Linked DNA regions of Sus scrofa. The protein of the gene in region 1 interacts with the protein of each later gene in a pairwise test. Links are inferred from orthologs where the notes say so. Each region holds a gene or a part of one and is shown in the gene's direction. Other genes may lie near its edges.

The links.
Region 2: the proteins of USHBP1 (region 1) and CCDC120 interact in binary tests that used the Homo sapiens proteins (3 or more experiments, as listed by UniProt). The two-hybrid records come from large-scale screens. The link is inferred for Sus scrofa from reciprocal best matches to the Homo sapiens genes USHBP1 and CCDC120.
Region 3: the proteins of USHBP1 (region 1) and KLHL38 interact in binary tests that used the Homo sapiens proteins (3 or more experiments, as listed by UniProt). The two-hybrid records come from large-scale screens. The link is inferred for Sus scrofa from reciprocal best matches to the Homo sapiens genes USHBP1 and KLHL38.
Region 4: the proteins of USHBP1 (region 1) and MED4 interact in binary tests that used the Homo sapiens proteins (3 or more experiments, as listed by UniProt). The two-hybrid records come from large-scale screens. The link is inferred for Sus scrofa from reciprocal best matches to the Homo sapiens genes USHBP1 and MED4.
Region 5: the proteins of USHBP1 (region 1) and UBXN11 interact in binary tests that used the Homo sapiens proteins (3 or more experiments, as listed by UniProt). The two-hybrid records come from large-scale screens. The link is inferred for Sus scrofa from reciprocal best matches to the Homo sapiens genes USHBP1 and UBXN11.

Annotation. Positions count from the first base shown.
Region 1 is NC_010444.4:60,414,260-60,418,202, forward strand, and holds part of USHBP1 (Usher syndrome type-1C protein-binding protein 1), read left to right. Parts: intron 1-2,011; coding exon 2,012-2,137; intron 2,138-2,481; coding exon 2,482-2,603; intron 2,604-2,767; coding exon 2,768-2,908; intron 2,909-3,289; coding exon 3,290-3,463; intron 3,464-3,943.
Region 2 is NC_010461.5:43,143,586-43,146,739, forward strand, and holds the end of CCDC120 (coiled-coil domain-containing protein 120), read left to right. Parts: intron 1-607; coding exon 608-1,525; coding exon of another isoform or gene 1,526-1,547; exon of another isoform or gene 1,548-2,025; coding exon 2,026-2,140; 3' UTR 2,141-2,278; downstream 2,279-3,154. UniProt on the Homo sapiens protein: Centriolar protein required for centriole subdistal appendage assembly and microtubule anchoring in interphase cells. Together with CCDC68, cooperate with subdistal appendage components ODF2, NIN and CEP170 for hierarchical subdistal appendage assembly.
Region 3 is NC_010446.5:15,798,918-15,802,349, forward strand, and holds the end of KLHL38 (kelch-like protein 38), read left to right. Parts: intron 1-302; coding exon 303-408; intron 409-1,446; coding exon 1,447-1,745; 3' UTR 1,746-2,556; downstream 2,557-3,432.
Region 4 is NC_010453.5:19,558,291-19,562,233, forward strand, and holds part of MED4 (mediator of RNA polymerase II transcription subunit 4), read left to right. Parts: intron 1-1,173; coding exon 1,174-1,344; intron 1,345-3,526; coding exon 3,527-3,584; intron 3,585-3,943. UniProt on the Homo sapiens protein: Component of the Mediator complex, a coactivator involved in the regulated transcription of nearly all RNA polymerase II-dependent genes.
Region 5 is NC_010448.4:83,697,140-83,701,082, reverse strand, and holds part of UBXN11 (UBX domain-containing protein 11), read left to right. Parts: intron 1-693; coding exon 694-802; intron 803-3,943. UniProt on the Homo sapiens protein: May be involved in the reorganization of actin cytoskeleton mediated by RND1, RND2 and RND3. Promotes RHOA activation mediated by GNA12 and GNA13.

The DNA of each region.
Region 1 (3,943 bases):
TGGTGGCTACAGCTTCGATTTGGTCCTTAGCCTGGGAACCTCCATATGCTGTGGGAGCGGCCCAAGAAATGGCAAAAAGACAAAAAAAAAAAAAAAAAAAAAAAAAGGAACAGTCCTACATCTGAGTTCAGAACTCAGCAGATGTCAGAGTGAGAAGGACCCAGGTGGTGACACTAGGGGTTGCAGGTGCCAGTGCAAGGAGTGGGGCCCATTTCCCTACAGAGTGGGGCCCATTTCCAAGATGGAAAAGAAAAATATATTTTAAAAAATGTTTGCCTACCCCCTACCCCCTGCCTCTGGCAAATATCAATCTGTTCTCTGTATCTGCATGTTCAATTCTTAAACTTTTTTTTCTAGGGCTGCACCCGTGGCATATGGAGGTTCCCAGGCTAGGGGTCTAATCAGAGCTGTAGCTACCGGCCTACACAACAACTTGGGATTTGAACCCCGTCTGTGACCTACATCACAGCTCACGACAACTTAACCCAATGAGAGAGGCCAGGGATTGAACCTGAAACCTCATGGTTCCTCGTCAGATTCATTAATCACTGAGCCATGACAGGAACTCCAATTTTTTAATTTTTTAAAAATTTTAATTTATTATTATTACTATTATTATTGGCCACACCTGCAGCATGCAGAAGTTCCTTTCCCAGGCCAGGGATCAAACCCTTGCCACAGTAATAACCAGAGCCATGCAGTGGCAATGCCAAATCCTTAACTCACTGAGCCATCAGGGAACTCCAATTTTGCTTTATTTTATTTTATTATTTCATTTCATTTATTTTATTTTATTTTATTCCTTTTATTTTTTGGCTGGCCTGCGGCATATGGAGCTCCTGGGCCAGGGATCAAATCTGAGATGCAGTTGAGACCTATGACACACTTGCAGCGATGACAAATCCTTTAACCCACATGAGCTGGGGATCAAATGTATGTCCTCATGCTGCAGGAGATGCCATCAATCCCTTTGCACCATAGCAGAAACTCCTTCTTTAGACTCCACATATAAGTGAGATCATACAGTGTTTATCTTTTTTTTTTTTTTTTTTTTTTTTGCCTTTTTAGGGCTGCACCTGAGGCATATGGAGGTTCCCAGGCTGGAGTCAAATTGAAGGTGTAGCCACTGGCCTACGCCACAGCCATAGCCAAACCAGATCCAAGCCACATCTGCAAACTACACCATAGTTCATGGACACACTGGATCCTTAACTAACCGAGCAAAGCCAGGGATCAAACCTGCATCCTCATGGATACTAGTCAGACTTACTTCTGCTGAGCTACAACAGGAACTCCCTTTCTTTTCTTTTTTGGGTGCTCTATGGCATATGGAGTTCCCAGGCCAGAAATCAGATCCAAGCTGCAGTTGTGACCTAAGCTACAGCTTCAGCAATGCCAGATCCTTAACCCACTGTGCCAGGCTGGTAATTGAACCTGTGTCCCAGTGCTCCCAAGAGGTCGCCATAGTTGTGACACAGTAGAAACTCCTCATTGTGTTTTTTTGTTTGTTCATTTGTTTGTTTGTCTTTTTAGGGCTGTACCCACAGCATATGGAAGCTCGAATTGGAGCTGCAGCTGCAGGCCTACACCACAGCCACAGCAACACGGGATCCAAGCCGTGTATGTGACCTACACCACAGCTCACGGCAATGCTGTATCCTTAATCCCCTGAGTGAGGCCAGGAGTCAAACCCACATCCTCATGGATATTAGTTGGGTTCGTTACCCTTGAACCATGACAGGAACTCCCCACATGGTGGTTTTGATTTGCATTTCCCTGAGACTTAGCGATATTAAGCATCTTTTCACATACCTGTTGGCTATCTGTATATCTAAAAAAAGGGAAGTCTTAAGTGGCTGAGTGAGTTGCCCAAGGTTGTATAGTGAGGGATTTGGTAGGATGAGTATCTGGGGTCCTGCCTTCCAGCCAGGGCTCTTGCCACTGCCCTAGGAACAGATCTTAGGTAAGAATGCTAGAGCCCCCAGGCCTGACACCCCCCTTTCCCATACAGGTCCAGGAGCTGCAGGATTCCCTGCTGAGGCTGGAGCCCTTCTCATCGCCCTCTGGTGACCAAGCAGGTGGCTCTAGAAGTGGTTCCAGCAGCTCTGGGGCTGACAGGGAGACCTGGGACACTCAGGTGAGTGTGGGAAGCTGAAAACCATGATCTTAAGATGCTTAGGGTTTAGGCCATGGGACTCAGTTCCTGGTCATGGATCCAATAGCTTGTGAGGTTGGAAAAGCCCTAAAGCCATGATGCTGGGCTCTTGGTGACAATCTGGGTGAATCCAGCCACCTTCTGGAGTTCCCTGGTGGTGCAGTGGGTTAAGGATCTGGTGTTATCAGTGCTGTGGCACTGGTTGGATCTCTGGCATGGAAACTTCCATATGCTGTTGGCACCTCCAAAAAAAAAAAAGAGAGAGAGATTGATTCACACAGGAGTGTATTTTTTTAAAAAATTCACCTCCTTCTGCCTTCTGGCAGGATCCTTTCTCCCCAGCTCATCCCCTGCTTCGGCGCCTCCAGAGTGATTCCAGCACCCAGATGCTTGAACCGCTTGCCCCTGAGATGCACATCGTGGAAGCCCAGATGGAGCAGCTGCGAGGGTAAGAGCCACAAATGCTGAGCTCGTAAGGGCACTGGTGCCTCCCAGCTGGAAGAGGAGTCTCCAGGAGTCTGGAGCTGGAGGGGGAGGGAGGGTGGAAGTCAATCAGGTCCTAACTGTCCTTCAAGGCATCTCACTTTCCTTCTTTTCCACTTCGGGAGGCAGGAACATTGAAAAGCTCAAATGCTTCAACCGTCTGCTGTCGGCTGTGCTCCAGGAGTACAAGGGCCGGTGTGAGGGCCTCAGCATGCAGCTGGGCCAGCTGGAGGCTGAGGCCACTGCGCTGCATCTAGCCTTGCAGTATAGGTCAGTGCACCCCACCCATGATGTCACTGACTGGGAAGGAAATGGGCATCCTCAAAGGATGGCCCTCGTCCCTAGAGAGAGGCAGGGACCTCACACGTCCCTAGAGAGAGGCAGGGCCCTCACAGAAAAGTACTTTTCCCTTACCAGGGAACTTAACTTCAGGCGATTTTAGTCCAAGAGGGCTGGAGGAGCAGTTCCCATCCTACCCCCAGCCTGGGAACTTCCATATGCCGTGGGTGCAGCCTTAAAAAGGCTGGAGGAGTTTATGAACTCCCAGGTGTGGGGGAGGGGAGGAGAAGTGAGGGGGTCCCAGAGCAAGTGGGGATGTCACCGACACAGCAAGATGGGTGTCCTGGAGTGCTTAGAGCTCATGTCCCACAGTGAACACTGTGAGGAGGCGTATGGAGCCCTGCTCACTCTCCGGGAGGCAGATTCCAGAGCAGGAGAGAAAGCCCTCACGAGTGACTTGGAGGCAGCTGAAAAGGAAGCTCAGAGGCTGCTGATGCAAGAGAAGGCTGCCATGGATGGAGGGACACTTCAGGCTCCACATCCAAGGTACCCAAGGGAACCCTGGGTACCGGGTGAGCCAATGAGTGAGGTTCTGATTGGAGAACTGGGCTCCCAGAATCAGTCCCACACTGGGAAGTTCCATGGCTCTTATGGTTGGCATGAAACCTGACTGGTGTTGGCTGGTTGCTACTCAACAAAGTTGGGGTGATGGTGACACCCACTGGGGTTGGTTTAGGACGCATCAGAGTTGGCATGATGATGATGGATGATGGTGCCCATGGATTAGAACTGGCATGATGGTACTTAGTGGGGTTGGCTTGATGTTGGTATCCACTGGAGTTGGCATGATGCTGCCTAGCAGGGTCGGCAAGTTGTGTGATGGTGCCCATTGGGTTGACATGATGGCATCTACCACGATGGCATGAGTGACTGTACCCATTGGCATGATAGTGTTCATCCATCATTCATCACTGATAGATGATTTTGATCATTGAGGTTTACAGTGTGGTACCCACCATATTGGTT
Region 2 (3,154 bases), on another chromosome or scaffold:
GGGAATGAGGGGTCAGATGTGTAGAAAAAGTCCTCAACCCTGCACCCCCTGCCCCAGCCCTGCACACACTTTCATCTCCAAGCTAACAGTCCCAAGCACCCCCATACATTTTCAGCCCCTCTGCCCCCCAGTCCCGGGCAGATCCTCTGCCGCCCTTTAAATGCCCCCACCTGACACCTTTATACACACGCTTTTGAATCCATCTGGGGCCCTTTTTGAGGGTGTGGAAGTGAAGGCTCGGGGGTGGGGGGCCAGTAGGAGTTCCTGTCGTGGCACAGCGGAAATGAATCCAACTAGGAACTATGAGGTCACGGGTTCTATCCTTGGCTTCGCTCAGTGGGTTAAGGATCTGCCCTTGCTGTGAGCTGTGGTGTAGGTCACAGATGTGGCTCGGCTCCTGCATTGCTGTGGCTGTGGCGTAGGCTGGCAGCTTAGCTCCAACTGGACCCCTCGCCTGGGAACCTCCATATGCCATAGGTGCGGCCCTAAAAAGCAAAAAAAAAATTTTTTTAATTAAAAAAAAGAGAGAGGCGGGGTAGGGAGGGCACTCATCCCATCTGCCTGTCATTTCTGACCCTTCTCCCATCACCACCCCTTGTGCCCCCAGACCTGAAGGCCTGCATTCTCGCCAGTGGTCCGGCAGCCAGGACTCCCAGATGGGCTTCCCCCGGGCAGACCCTGTCTCCGACCGCGCCTCCCTCTTCGCAGCTCGAACCCGCCGCAGCAATAGCTCTGAGGCCCTGCTGGTGGACCGGGCAGCTGGTGCGGGAGCTGGCTCCCCTCCTGCGCCTCTGGTTCCCCCTGCCGCCGGTCCCCCGGTCTGCAAGAGCAGTGAGGTGCTGTATGAGCGCCCCCAACCAACCCCGGCCTTCTCCTCTCGCACCGCTGGTCCCCCAGACCCTCCTCGGGCTGCCCGGCCCAGCTCGGCCGCCCCCGCCTCCCGTGGGGCTCCCCGGCTCCCACCCGTGTGTGGGGACTTCCTGTTGGACTATTCCCTGGACCGGGGTCTGCCCCGTGGTGGCGGCGGCGGGACAGGCTGGGGGGAGCTGCTGCCTGCAGCCGATGTCCCAGGACCCCTCTCCCGCCGGGATGGGCTCCTCGCCATGCTCCCCGGCCCACCGCCTGTGTACGCAGCTGACGGCAGCAGCCCCCTCCTCCGCAGCAAGGACCCCCACGGCCGTGCCCCCCGCGCCAAGCCCTGTGGCCTGCCCCTGGAGGCCACCGAGGGGCCAGAGGTGCATCCCAACCCTCTGATGTGGATGCCCCCACCTGCCCGCATCCCCCCAGCTGGCGAGCGCAGCGGCCACAAGAACCTTGCCCTGGAGGGGCTGCGGGACTGGTACATCCGGAACTCGGGACTGGCCTCGGGGCCCCAGCGCCGGCCTGGGCTCCCCCACATGGTCCCGCAGCACCCGTCCTTCCTCCATGCCCGCTGCTATGAGGTGGGCCAGGCGCTGTATGGGGCCCCCAGCCAGGCGCCGCTCCCGCACTCGAGGAGTTTCACGGCGCCCCCTGTCTCCGGCAGGTACGGGGGGTGCTTTTACTGATGGGTAGGGGGTCTCTTGAGGCAGGTGGCCAGAGGGTCCAGGCTAGGGAGCAGCTTGTCCCGGCTAGCGAGTGACACAGCCCTGGGGAGAACTGGCCGCGGCCCTCGCCCCGGGCTCACTGGGCCTTGCCCGACCTGCATTAGTCTGCGGGGTCTCGGCCGAGGGGTGTGTTGGGCCTTGGTAGCAGCAGTTCTTCACCAGGCAATATGGGAATGTGAAGGTCTGAACTACCAGTGCATGTCAGCTGCAAGTGAGCCTTGGCATCAGGGTGCTGGGAGGAAGGGACGTCCCGTGCCCTCGCCTTTCTCTTCTCTTTTCACCGTGCCCCATGCTTGCGAGCCTTAAAGATGCTGTCCTGTGCCTGCCTCCACCTCTTTAACGAGCCTCTTTTCCTCTCTCTTTCTGTGTCTTGTCCGTCTTTTCCTCTGTCCTCTGTCTTCCCACCCTGTCCTCCGGATTCCTGCTACCCCTCCTAAAGATACTACGCGGACTTCCTGTACCCCCCGGAGCTGAGCGCTCGTTTAAGTGACCTGACGCTAGAGGGGGAGCCGTCCTCCGGTTCCGACCCCCAGACCCCGGGGACACTGGTCTGACCCCTTCCCATATGCCCCTTATCGGCCCGGTCATGACTCCAGTCTGGGGAGCACCCAGCGGATCTCGCTGAGCCCTGGGGTGTGGCTGCGCTTGGTCCTGGGGCGGGGGGCACCAACCTGATCTCCCAAGGCCCCCGGCTCCCCGTGGGCCCCCAAAGGTGTCTGACACCCTGCTTCTGCTCTCACGCTGTGCTGGGGACTGGGGGCCCTGAGCCGGCTGGAAAGAGAGGGCGGCTGATGTAATGGGGCCTCCACGCCCCTTCCTCCATTCCTGTTTACAGTCGTGATTTAGGTATTCACCGTCTTCCCCCCAACACTAGCCGTTTTATAAAAAGGGAAACTGTGATCTCGTCCTGGTTGGGTCCCTTCCTGTCCCTGTGCCCAACCTGTGTCCCGTTCAGGAACCCCCCTTCCCCAAAACAGACCATAGAGGGTCTCAGGGCCCAGCTTGGGGCAGCCAGGAGACTCCAGTGTGAACAGAACTCCCTGCCCGCTCCCCCCCCACCCCCACCAGGGCCGTTTTCCTTGGGGACGTGGGCTCTCTGCCCACGTCTGGAAGGACTAAAGTCTGGGTGGAGGACTTGGGTTCATTTCCCCTCCCCACCCCCAGGGTTCCTGTCTGCCTGTCTGTGCCCGCTGCCTCTGCCCACAGGGTGAAATGGCCCAGCCTTTGGTGGCAGCCTCTGCCCCAACTCTTCCCCAGTCAGGAGGCTCTGCGGGAGGGTCCAAAGGGCAGAGCCACTGGGCGTGTTGTGTCCTGGGATGCTGCGGTGGTGGAACCTGGCATCTGGTAGATGCCAGTGAAGTCCTCAGGTGACGTCTGGCCACAGCTACGTCACGTCTTCCTTGGCTTTCCTTCCATCCACCACTTTTTAAACAAATCCACACAAGCTGTGTTTTCTATGATACCTGTCTGTGACTTTCCGGAGCTGGGGGCTCCCCTACCCCCTTTACCTGGTGTTAAACTTTTCTTTTTGTACCAATGGATCTGGGCCCAAGACACTACCCACACTG
Region 3 (3,432 bases), on another chromosome or scaffold:
TCGAATAACAACCTTCTTTCTCGTATTTAGTTATATTTTATTTGTTGATCGTAATATAGCTACATTGTCAGGACTGGAAAAAAAAAGTGGAAAGAAAAAGAAATCACTGCTCTTTCGCCCACTTAATCACTTCTTCTGTCTCTTAAAAACATGCAGCACTTAACTGACAGAACATGTAAATCAACTAAGATAAAAAAATTTTTTTTAAAAAAGTACACCTCTAACCTTAAAAAAAAAAAAAAGGGAAAAAACATGCAGCACACTTTAAAGTGAAATGCTGTGATTATGTATTTCTCCCTCAGGTGTATCACATTTCCAGAAACACGTGGTTCAAAATGGAGACGAGAATGATCAAGAACGTCTGTGCCCCCGCCGTGGTGCTGGGGGAGCGGATCGTCATCGTGGGAGGTGAGTTTGAACAGAGGATGGAGAGCGGACACCAACGTGGCATCTCCCACGGAAAAAGCGTCGCGGATAGACAGATGCTGTTCTCTGGGACAGTTTTTTTTTTTTTTTAAAGCACACCCAGCCAATCAGGGGGGGTATGGACAGCTTAACAAAGCTCTCTCCTCATCCAGAAATTTCTCTATTTATCTGCAAACAAGGAATAAAATCATACCTATTTCATAGAGTTGCGAGCATAAAATAGTGCTCACATCTCTAAACCTCTCAGCACGATCCCAGACCCGGCGCAAACAGTCAAAAAACATTTGCTGTTGTAAATAAGATTAGCTGCTTAGGGATCATTTCTCGGTAACTGCAGTATAATGTTAGGGTTACGAGGGCTGGTTGGTGGGGTGGTCAGATGGACGTGGGTTCAAATCCTGACTCTGCCACTAACTGGCTCTATATTCTGAGGCAAGTTATTAACCTCTTTGTGCATCTTTTTGCTGACTTGCACAATGTGGCTCCTAAAAGTACCCACCAGATAGGGCTGTTGTGGGGACTCACTTTTGAGTTCCCAAAAGCACCTTCATTGGACTGTTAAAACTCTTGGATGAGCGTATTTAGGAATTTAGGAATAACATACACACACTACTATATATAAAATAGATACACAACAAAGACCTGTATAGCACAGGGAACTATACTTAATATTTTGTGTAACTGAATGTAATTGAACCACTTTGCTGCATACCCGAAACAAATATATTGTAAATCAACCATACAATAATTAAAAAAAAAAATCAAAAGCTAACAAGGCTGAGAAGGCCCATGGCATCTCTGCTCTCTACGATGTAGAGGCTAGGGTCAGACGGATCTGGGTCCAAACCCCGGCTCTGCCATACACGAGACCTTGGGCGGGTTCATGAAACATTCCACGCTTCAGTTGAGAGTCCAGCCTCAGAGGTAGGTGCTGGCAGAGGTCGGACAGGTCTCCCGGCCGCTCGTCTCCAGTTCCAAATGAGTATCGCTGACCTGGTTGATATGCCACTTGGCTTTCAGGTTACACGCGGAGGATCCTTGCTTACGACCCCCAGTCCAACAAATTCGTCAAATGTGCGGACATGAAAGACCGGAGGATGCACCACGGGGCGGCGGTGATGGGGAAGAAGCTCTACGTGACGGGAGGGCGGCGGCTGACCACGGACTGCAGCATCGAGGACCTGGCCTCCTTTGACTGCTACGACCCCGAGACAGACACCTGGACGTCCCAGGGCCAGCTGCCACACAAGCTCTTTGACCACGCCTGCCTCACTCTCCAATGCATCCCCCACTCTGTCACGGTCCCCTCAGGCCCATGAGAAACTGAGAAGCCACCTGGCTTAGTCGAGATGCTCTTATGGCAAGAGACAGAACCCGATTCCAAGAGCTTAACTCTGAAAGGGTGCAGGGAGAGCTCTCAGGACTGAAAGTTCTAGAGCCTGGAGGCCTGAGACCAAGCCTACTGTTCACAGAACTCTCTGTCTCTGTATCTCTTGTCTGTCTTTCCTCTCTCCCTTCCTCCCTCCCTCCCTCCTTCTCTACCTCATTGCCATTAGGGTTTATTCTGCAAACAAGCTTCTTTAGCCTCTTCATCCAGTGTGAGGAAATGTGACAGAAAGTCTAGCAATCTGGCACCTTTAGGAAAGAACTTTACTCTTATCCATAGAAACGCCCCCTCCCCAAAACAATGCCGATTGGTTCTTTTTGAATTCCCTGTCTCCCGCAATACTTCCAGAGACTGTAGACTGTGCTTCCCGAGACTGTGCAAGTGAGCTTGACCTGGATCCTGTCTCCACAGGCAGAGGTGGGGTTAACGACTGTCGCTGATAAAACTGCCAGACTGCACCTAATGGGACAGAAGTGGTTCCCCAAAGCAAGAAATGCCGGGCCGATAAGAACCACATCTGCCCAGAGAGCATGGCCATTAGGAACAAGAGGGTGAAGACACCCAAAGGGGTCCCTGGAAGCATCTGGTCCAGGCGGCAGAAAGAGCAACTGGCTGAGCCCATGTTCCTCTACCTTCTAGAACGTAGCGCATTGGAACTCCAGGAGAGTATGCGAACCTCAGTTGCTAGTGTTTGCAAAAGTATCTGCACCACTGGAATAAAGTTTGTTTCTGATGCCAAATGATGTTTTTCTCCAGCCTCCAGCGAGCTATAAACCTGCAGAATTAATCACGATTTTCATTTTGGTAAATGTTACGAGAATTGCTTTCCTGAGGAAAGCCAACAAATTCTTTCAGAGATTACAGCCCTTCCAATGCCAGGGCTGACTTTCCCCGTGGCCCTCTTTATCTCACAGTGCCTCCCACACTAGCTCGGTCCCAAACTCAGGAATCAGTTGAAGCTAGGGGCACACTACAATCACCTGGGAAGACGTTTGAAAATGGGGCGGAGCCCAAATCAAGATGGACAGACAGGGATTCCCAGAGGCGGGGCCAGGGCTCCGCATTGTTGAAAAGCATCCCAGTTCATTGCAATGACTGGCAGTCAGGTGGAGAACCACCACCCTTCTCAGCACTGGAGACCGTCCTGTGCTGGTCTCTTCCCCATCCTATCTCCCCAGACCTGCCCCAGCCCAGGGTAGGTAGAGTCCCCTCCCGACCAATGGAAGCCTCTGGGATGCGTCTTGCTGCCCTGAGCCAGGCACCAGAGTGCCCCCAAGCTGAAGCCTTCCACCCCGGCCAGCTCTCCAGGTCCATGTTCTGGACTTTTCCTTTCTTCCTAGTTTGTATTTTTTTTTTTTTTTCACTTTTTCTCCCACTGGGGTCTGAAGCTCTGCTCAGCTCCCCAGACCACCTGGCTGTGATCCAGACACCCTCCCCAGACAGTCAGCCCCCACTGCTCATCCTCCACGCTGTCCCCAGAGCGTCTGGCTGGCCTAACTCCAACCTCTTCTCTTTGAACCTCCCCATTTCAGGCTCTCAATCCCACCCCTCCCTGAAACTGTACTTGTAATGCCTAATTTTTTTTTTTTTATTTTTAAGGCCACACCCGCGGCATATGG
Region 4 (3,943 bases), on another chromosome or scaffold:
AATGATATTCCTCTGTGTGTGTGTGTGTGTAGATCTACACATTTCTTTGTCCATTGATCCACTGATGGACACTAAGATTGTTTCCCTGTCTTGGCTGTTGTAAATAATGCTGCATTAAACATGGAGGTGCAGATATTTTTTCAAAATAGTGACTTGAGTTCCTTTGTGGCACAGCGGGTTAGGTATCTGGTATTGTCACTGCAGTGGCCCGGAGTTGCTGCTGTGGTATGGGTTCAATCCCTGGCCCAGAAACTTTCTCATGCTGCAGGTATGGCCAAAACAATAAAATAAAAAAAAAATAGTGGTTTCATTTCTTTGGATAAATACTCAGGAGTAGAATTTCTGGACCATATGGTAGTTCTGTTTTTAATTTTTTAAGTAATCTCTACCTTTAATGGAAGGTTTTCTGTGGTAGTTGCACTAATTTAGATTCCCACCAACAATAGGACTAAGGGTTCTGTTCTCCCCACATCCTCTCCAACACTTATCTCTTGTCTTTCTGATGATGGTTTTAACTGGTGCAGTGGTCTTTTTTTTTTATGATTTTTATTTTTTCCATTATAGTTGGTTTACAGTGTACAATTTCTACTGTACAGCAAAGTGACCCAGTCAAACATACGTATATGTACATTTTTTTTCTGACGTTATCCTCCACCATGTTCCATCGCGAGTGACTAGATACAGTCCTCTTCTAGACAGCAGGATCTCCTTGCTCATCCATTCCAAAGGCAGCAGTTACAGTGCAGTGGTTTCGATTTGCATTTCCCTGATGATTAGCAATACTGAGTACCTTTTCATGTGTTTTTGGCTATTTGTGTATCTTTGGAGAATTGTCTATTCAGTTCCTGGTGTCAACTAAAATCATCTCAAATAAATTATATCTTCCCTGGGAAATGAATAAACCTGCTTATTTTGGCATATTGCTAGTTTTGAAAGATTTGTTCTATTTTGTATGAAAGAATAGCATATAATTAGAAAAAATAGATAATCTTGATGTTAATTGGTTTTCTAAAATAATCATAGGCTATTTTTATTCGTAGCAATGATTAGAAATAATACTTAGGAGGTATTAAAATTTTACAGACTAGTCAGTTCACATGTGGATTCTTTGTTTTATTGGAATGTAGTTTTTCAGTATTCTGTTATCTGCTTTAATCAGCTATTATCTGACAGGTCCTGGAGTTGTTAATTCACAGAGATGGGGAATTTCAAGAACTAATGAAATTAGCACTTAATCAGGGGAAAATTCATCATGAAATGCAACTTTTAGAAAAAGAAGTAGAAAAGAGAGACAGTGATATTCAGCAACTACAAAAACAGCTAAAGGAAGCAGAACAGATACTGGTAAGTGGGTAAAGACTGTTTCTTTTTTTTTTTTTTTTTGTCTTTTTTTTTTTTTTTTTTGCCATTTCTTGGGCCACTCCTGTGGCATATGGAGGTTCCCAGGCTAGGGGTCGAATTGGAGCTGTAAGCTGCCAGCCTACGCCAGAGCCACAGCAACGCAGGATCCGAGCCGCGTCTGTGACCTACACCACAGCTCACGGCAACGCCGGAACCTTGACCCACTGAGCAAGGGCAGGGATCGAACCCGCAACCTCATGGTTCCTAGTCGGATTCATTAACCACTGCGCCACGAAGGGAACTCCGAGACTGTTTCTTAATGGAAAAAGGGGTATTACTTACTCTCTGAAAAATAAATCTTTTATCAGTATTTTGAAGTGGTAGAAAAACTTGAATTTCCAAGTCTAAAAGTGACAACTACTTTCAGAGAGTCTCTGTTACGTATTACTTTTTCATTATTTTCATTATTTAGTTATTTAAAGATTTCTTAAGATTAAATTAATAGAAATGAGAAGTTTTATTTGTATCTTGTCCTGATGTAAATTTTCATTTATTAATATTGTAAATCTTTACTTCAATTTTAGAAATATCTTGAAATCAGTAAAAATACATACCAGTTTTGTAACTTGATTAAAATTAACATCAGTTTATTTATTTTAGTCTTCCATCCCAAACTGAATGGAATTTGGATTTATGTCAAGGACTCCAGTTTTTCCATTCTTGTTCTTGGCTACTATTTCAAAGAGACAGTTAATTTGCTATTATTTGCTCAGTTTTTTTTTTTTTTTACTAAATACTAACTAATGCAATTGTTATTTGGTGATATTGCATGAAGAGTGGAGCTTGATTCTCATATGGACCAGACATTGCTGGCTATTCTCTAGATTAGATCTTCAAAAGTGTTGTTATTGAGTTAAAGACTGAACACAAAGACCATAAAAGACTGAATTTTGTGTTTTAGATAATAGCAACTAACATTTATTAAGAGCACTTGTGCACCAGGGCCTGTGCTTTTGCATTTTTATTTGTATTATCTCAATCTTCTTAACAATTACATGAGGTCAGTATCATTACTCTGTTTCACAGAAGGAGAAATTATGATTTTAAATGAATACCTACCTTGCCCAAGAGGGTAAAAGTAGAGAGATGGAACTTAAACCTAGATCTCTCTGACTCCATACCCCCCCCTTTTTTAGGGCTACACCCACAGTATGTGGAGGTTCCCAGGCTAGGGGTTGAATCAGAGCTATAGCTGCCGGCCTACACTACAGCTCACGGCAATGCTGGATCCTTAACCCACTGAGCGAGGCCAGGGATCGCACCCGCAACCTCATGGTTTATAGTCGGATTTGTTCCCACTGCGCCACAACGGGAACTCCTCTGACTCCATACTCTTACCCACTGTGTCATAGTGCTAAGTTAACTTCATTTTACCCTTAGTTAGCCTTTGCCCAGGGGTTGGTGGGTGAAGGAGTTCACTATTAGTCATTAAGTATGGAGGTAAGGTAACATATAAATGAATGAGACGATCAGTCCAAGAATGTATCTTGTAAACTAGGGAAAAAAGTGTCTTTGGTACTGGTCGCAAGAATAGGGTGCTTTGGAGGTGGTACGTGGTCTGTTTTCTGCATGCTTATGGTAGAAGACAAAGGAAAAATGGTATTAAACAATCTAATTTACATTTTGTTTCTAACCACTAGTTTGTGAATGGAGACTACCTCATGAGTATAATGTTTATTTTTTTTTTCTCTTGACTATATAACTTAGGTAAATGCTATCCAAGTGGTGTTTCATAAATGACAAGGAATTCCTGTTGTGGCTCAGGGCGTTAAGAACCCAGCTAGTATCCTTGAGGATGCGGGTTTGATCCCTGGCCTTGCTCAGTGGGTTATGGATCCTGCACTGATGGGAGCTGCGGCATAGGTCTCAGACGCGGCTCCCATCTGGTGTGGTTGTGGCTGTGGTGTAGGCCCGCAGCTCCAACTCCAGTTCAACCCCTAGCCTGAGAACTTCCATATGCTGATGGTGTGGCCATAAAAAGGAAAAAAAAAGACAAATTGTGGGGCTTTCCCAAATTTTGCGTATTGTTCCTCTGTGATAAATGGTTTTGTGAATTAAGCCAAAAACTGGGCTTGGTATAGTCTTGAATAATCCATATTTCTTTTTTTAATGTTTAATTAATTAGGCAACAGCTGTTTACCAAGCAAAAGAGAAACTCAAGTCAATAGAAAAAGCAAGAAAAGGTTAGTATGGTGGGAACACTGAATGACTTTCTGAAAAATCCAAGAGACTGACTCTGAGAGTGTTACTGGTAATCATCTGCTGCTGTTGAAAAAGCTTCAGTAAATTCTCACTGTGAAGTGCCTCCTGTGTCACAGTGCTGTGCTGGGCATTGCTAGGGAACCCCTTCCTGTTGTAAGAAGCAATAATGCAGGTTATGGCTATTACCCAAATGTGCACTAGAGACAATGGGTTTTTTAAATTTTGGGGAGAAAATATGGGCTGGAAGCAAATGGGATTTGAGTTGGATCTTGAAAGACAGGACAGAGAATGAAAGAGAGCATCCACTGGACAGCTGGAGTGGGCTAGGTATGGCCGTGAA
Region 5 (3,943 bases), on another chromosome or scaffold:
GGAAGCTGCAGCAGGAAGTGTAGACAACTCCGTTTTCCTGGGAGTGGCCGTGGTGGCTCAGCAGGTTAAGACCGCAACTAATCCACGAGCATGTGGGTTCCATCCCTGGCCTCGCTCAGTGGGTTAAGGATCTGGCGTTGCTGTGAGCTGTGTGGTGTAGGCTGCAGACATGGCTCAGGTCCTGTGTGGCTGTGGCTGTGGTGGAGGCTGGCAGCTACAACTCCGATTCCACCCCTGGCCTGGGAACTTCCATATTCTGCACCTGCAGTCCTAAAAAAGAAAAAAAAGTTTTCCTGTGGCAAAGGGGCTGTGAGGCCAGCCCTAGAGGGGCCACATGTGAGTGGACATGTCCCCTCAGACCTGCCAAGTGGGGTGTCCCTGCCCCTCCTGCTTCTCAGGCCAGACCCACCTGCCTTCAGCGAGCTCCTGCTTGTGCCAGGCCCGGTACTAAGTACATGACATGAATTATCTTAGTCTTCCTCACAAGCTTCATTTCACAAGGAGCCTGAGGCTCTAGGCAGCGAAATGGCTTCCCAAGGTCACAGCCAGGAAGTGGTTCAAGACCCTGGGGCCCATCCCCCCGATCCAGTCAGCTTTGGGAGCCCAGGCTGGAGGCTGGGCTGGTGCTGCCTTTTCCCCTGGAAGGGGCTGAGCTGACAGGGCCCTGGACACCTCCCTTCTCTCTCCCCGCAGCGGTTCCTTGGGGACTACGGCCTGCAGTGGGTGGGTGAGCCCGTGGACCAAGAGGACTCTGAGGATAACGAGAGGGACTGGATGACAGCCAAGAAGTTCTGGAAGCCAGGTAGAGTCAGGGTCTACCCCAGCGCCCCCTGCAAAGGGATTTGTCCAGCAGCTTCTGATGGTGCCCAGCTGTCCAGAGGCCATCTCATTCACGCCCCTCCTCCCAGCACGAGGAGGTGCCCCGAGGCCTCCCACGCTTTGCCACTGACACAGGGACAGGAGGGAAAGGCCTCAGCTTTCATCACTGAGCACCTAACCTAGACTCTGTTTGCTCACCTTTCTAAGGCTCCGGGGACCCAGAGATACAAGATGTAACAAGATCTCATTTGTCTCAGGCACCACAGTTCACAGAACATCCCCCCTCCCAAAGCTGTGGCCTTTGAAAGCAGTCCCTCTGCTTTGGAAGTGTCCTGTGGTCCCAGGGCTTGGCCTCCTCTTCGGACTCTTTTTCCAGGTTCCCTTACAGCAAACTATTGAAATCTACCTGCTTTTATGGGACGCCATCCCCTTTTATTCCTAAGTCGAGTGCTGATATCCAGAGGGATGCACTCCAGAGATTTGGGCCCATAGAACTGGCCCCTTCTGAAAGCCGGGTCCATTCTCCACAAAGAATGGAGGTCATTGCCCTGAAGGTTCTTCTCTGGGCTCTGGAGATGGTCACGGCTGGGTCCTCATTGCCACTCTACCCCCAGGCGTGACTTGACTCGGGTTCTGTTCTCTGAGCCTCCAGGTCCTCTCCAATAGATGGGGGTGTGTTCTCGCCCACGCTGGGCTGGACGCAGCACCTCCCGCTGACCTTGCATGCCTTCAGCCCCACGAGTGGGAGCTCTCATTGGTCTCCACAGTCAGAGGCAGTGACAGTCCCGTGGGAACATGAGCGTGGCTCCCGGGCTGACTCTTTGGAAGATGATGGCACTCTCTTGGTTTCACAAGTTTCCAGCAGGGTAAAAACCGAAACCGAAAACATGGGAGTCCCACCTTTGGCCGGATCCCCCTAAATCTCCAGGCACAACCCTCTCATCCTTGTTCCAAAAACATTACTTCCCATTTGGACCACACTTAACTTCCTTTAAAGCATTTTCATAAATAGTCTTGACATGAGCTGGGGTTATTCCATTTTACAGATGTGGAAACTGAGGCACTTAAGACGTCCGAAGCCTGTTGAGTGGAGGGGGCAAGGCTTAAGGCTGAGAGCCCATTGGGAGGTGGTTACAATCATCTGGGCAGAAGATGAGATGATGCCCAGCATAGGGTGATACTGGTGGGGCTGGTGAGCAGGGGCAGAGCAGAGAGATTTATTGGAGATCGCTTGTTCATTAGGGAGGGGGCAGGAGGAACCTGGGCTGACCCTGGGGAGCACGAGTGGGGGGACGATGCTGAGTCCACTTGGGACATAGCAAAGCTGGGGGAGCTTGGTGGCACCTGGGTCATGCCCGGAGCTGAACCCTGGGCTGAGTCCTATGGGAAGTTCTCCAGGGACACCTGCCCAGATGAGAGGCCAGACCCTGGCAGGTGACTGCCAGAAGCTGTAAGAATGTCTGTTCCTGGGCTCTAGGGCCAAAGGCCTGCCAGCACTGCCCCTCCCCTCCCCTCCTTGTCCCTGAGCTGGGCTCAGGCCTCCTTGTTGGAGGAGAGTCATCCTCTTGGCCGGAGGGGGCTGCCCTGCCCCTTTGGGGAAGGAGTCAGACCAGACAGCTGCTTTCTGGTCCTGGCTCTGTGGATTCCTACCCTCTCCCTCCAAAACAGAGCAGCCCCCCTCCCCCCGGCTCTGTGCTTTACACACAGAGTACGGCCAGCTCAGAAGCCACTTGTAAAAGCCACCCAGCCACAAGCTCCCTCTGTGTGTCGTCTTCCTTCTTTTGCTTTTTGATTCTTCCACACGGAGGGACCTTGATTTCACTCTCCTACCCGATGAACAACATGTTTTTCACTTCCAGCAGCTTTTCCTCCTGGAACCCTCCCACGCTCTTCCCTTCCTTTCCCCATGGCCTGGTCCCCAGCTGCTAGACTGCTCCCGCCCCAAGGACCCTTGGGCCCATGGAGGTAGCCTCTGGCTGGCCCTGATGCTCTGGCTCCTTTCTTTGGCTCTCCCTCTGTTGGGTACCACTTCCCACAGGCCCTGGGGCAGCAGGCCAGGGGATAGGTGAGCTGGGGCGTCTGTATTGGGCAAACTGGGGCTGATTCTAATGTTCTGGAGCCCGGGAGTCCTATCTTAAGGAGGAGGCCCCTGCAGGGGCCCAGGGGAGAGGAAGCTCAGCCCCTCCCACCCTTCCACCAGCGGGGTGAACATCAAATCGGGTGCCGGGTGCCAGGTGCCTCAGGGTACACGCAGACCTGAAAGGGCGGCTCTGCTCTGGCCATGCTACTTTCAGGTCAGATGTTGCTCTGGCCATACCACTTTCAAGTCAGGTGTCGAGCCTCAAGGCTGAAAGCTCCTGCCAACTTTGAGCTCCTGACCCCTCTTCCCCATCCTCTCTGACCTCCTCACCTCCCTTCCCCCATCCCCTCTGTGCTTCCCTCCCCTCCCCCATCAAGTTCCTGCCCTCCTTCTCCATCACCCTCCCCTGAGTCCCCCCACCTCCCCCAGCCCTTTCCCCCAGGCCCAGGCTCCTGCCTCTTCCTTCCACTGCTCAGGATGCTACCCTGACCCCTCTGTGGGCTGTAGCTGGCTTCACTTGTCCCTGGGCTGCCCTTGAGCCCCTGGGACTGGCCTGGCCTGGACCCCTGGCAGGATTAGCTCCTTCCAGCTGCATTCCCATTAGCTCCAGCCTGTGCTGTGTCCCCTGGGTGCCTTGTCCCCTTTCCTCCCCTCCTTTGGAGCTCAGCTAAACCCGACTTGCTGCAGCTGCCCCGGGCGCGTGGTTAGGGGCTCTGGCTGAGGAGTGGGGCCTGGTCAGATCGGACCCTGCACCGTGTGTGGAGAAATTGCTTCACCTCTGAGTCCACATCCTTATCTGCGATGTGAGGAGATGCTATCTTTGATCCCTAGGCACTGAGAGCACTGAATGCCCCAGCATATGTGGAATGTTCTCGCCGGCTGTGTGGTCAGTCAATAGTGACCATGTCCATTTGCTTCTTGGCGCCTCCTGTGCTCGAGTGCCCGGCACAGGGCTTGACCCAGAGGCCAGCGCACGTGCACAGGCAGGTGATTGGCGGGCGGTGCCCGGGTGCCCTGGCCTGGATGACCCGAGCCTGCCGGGAC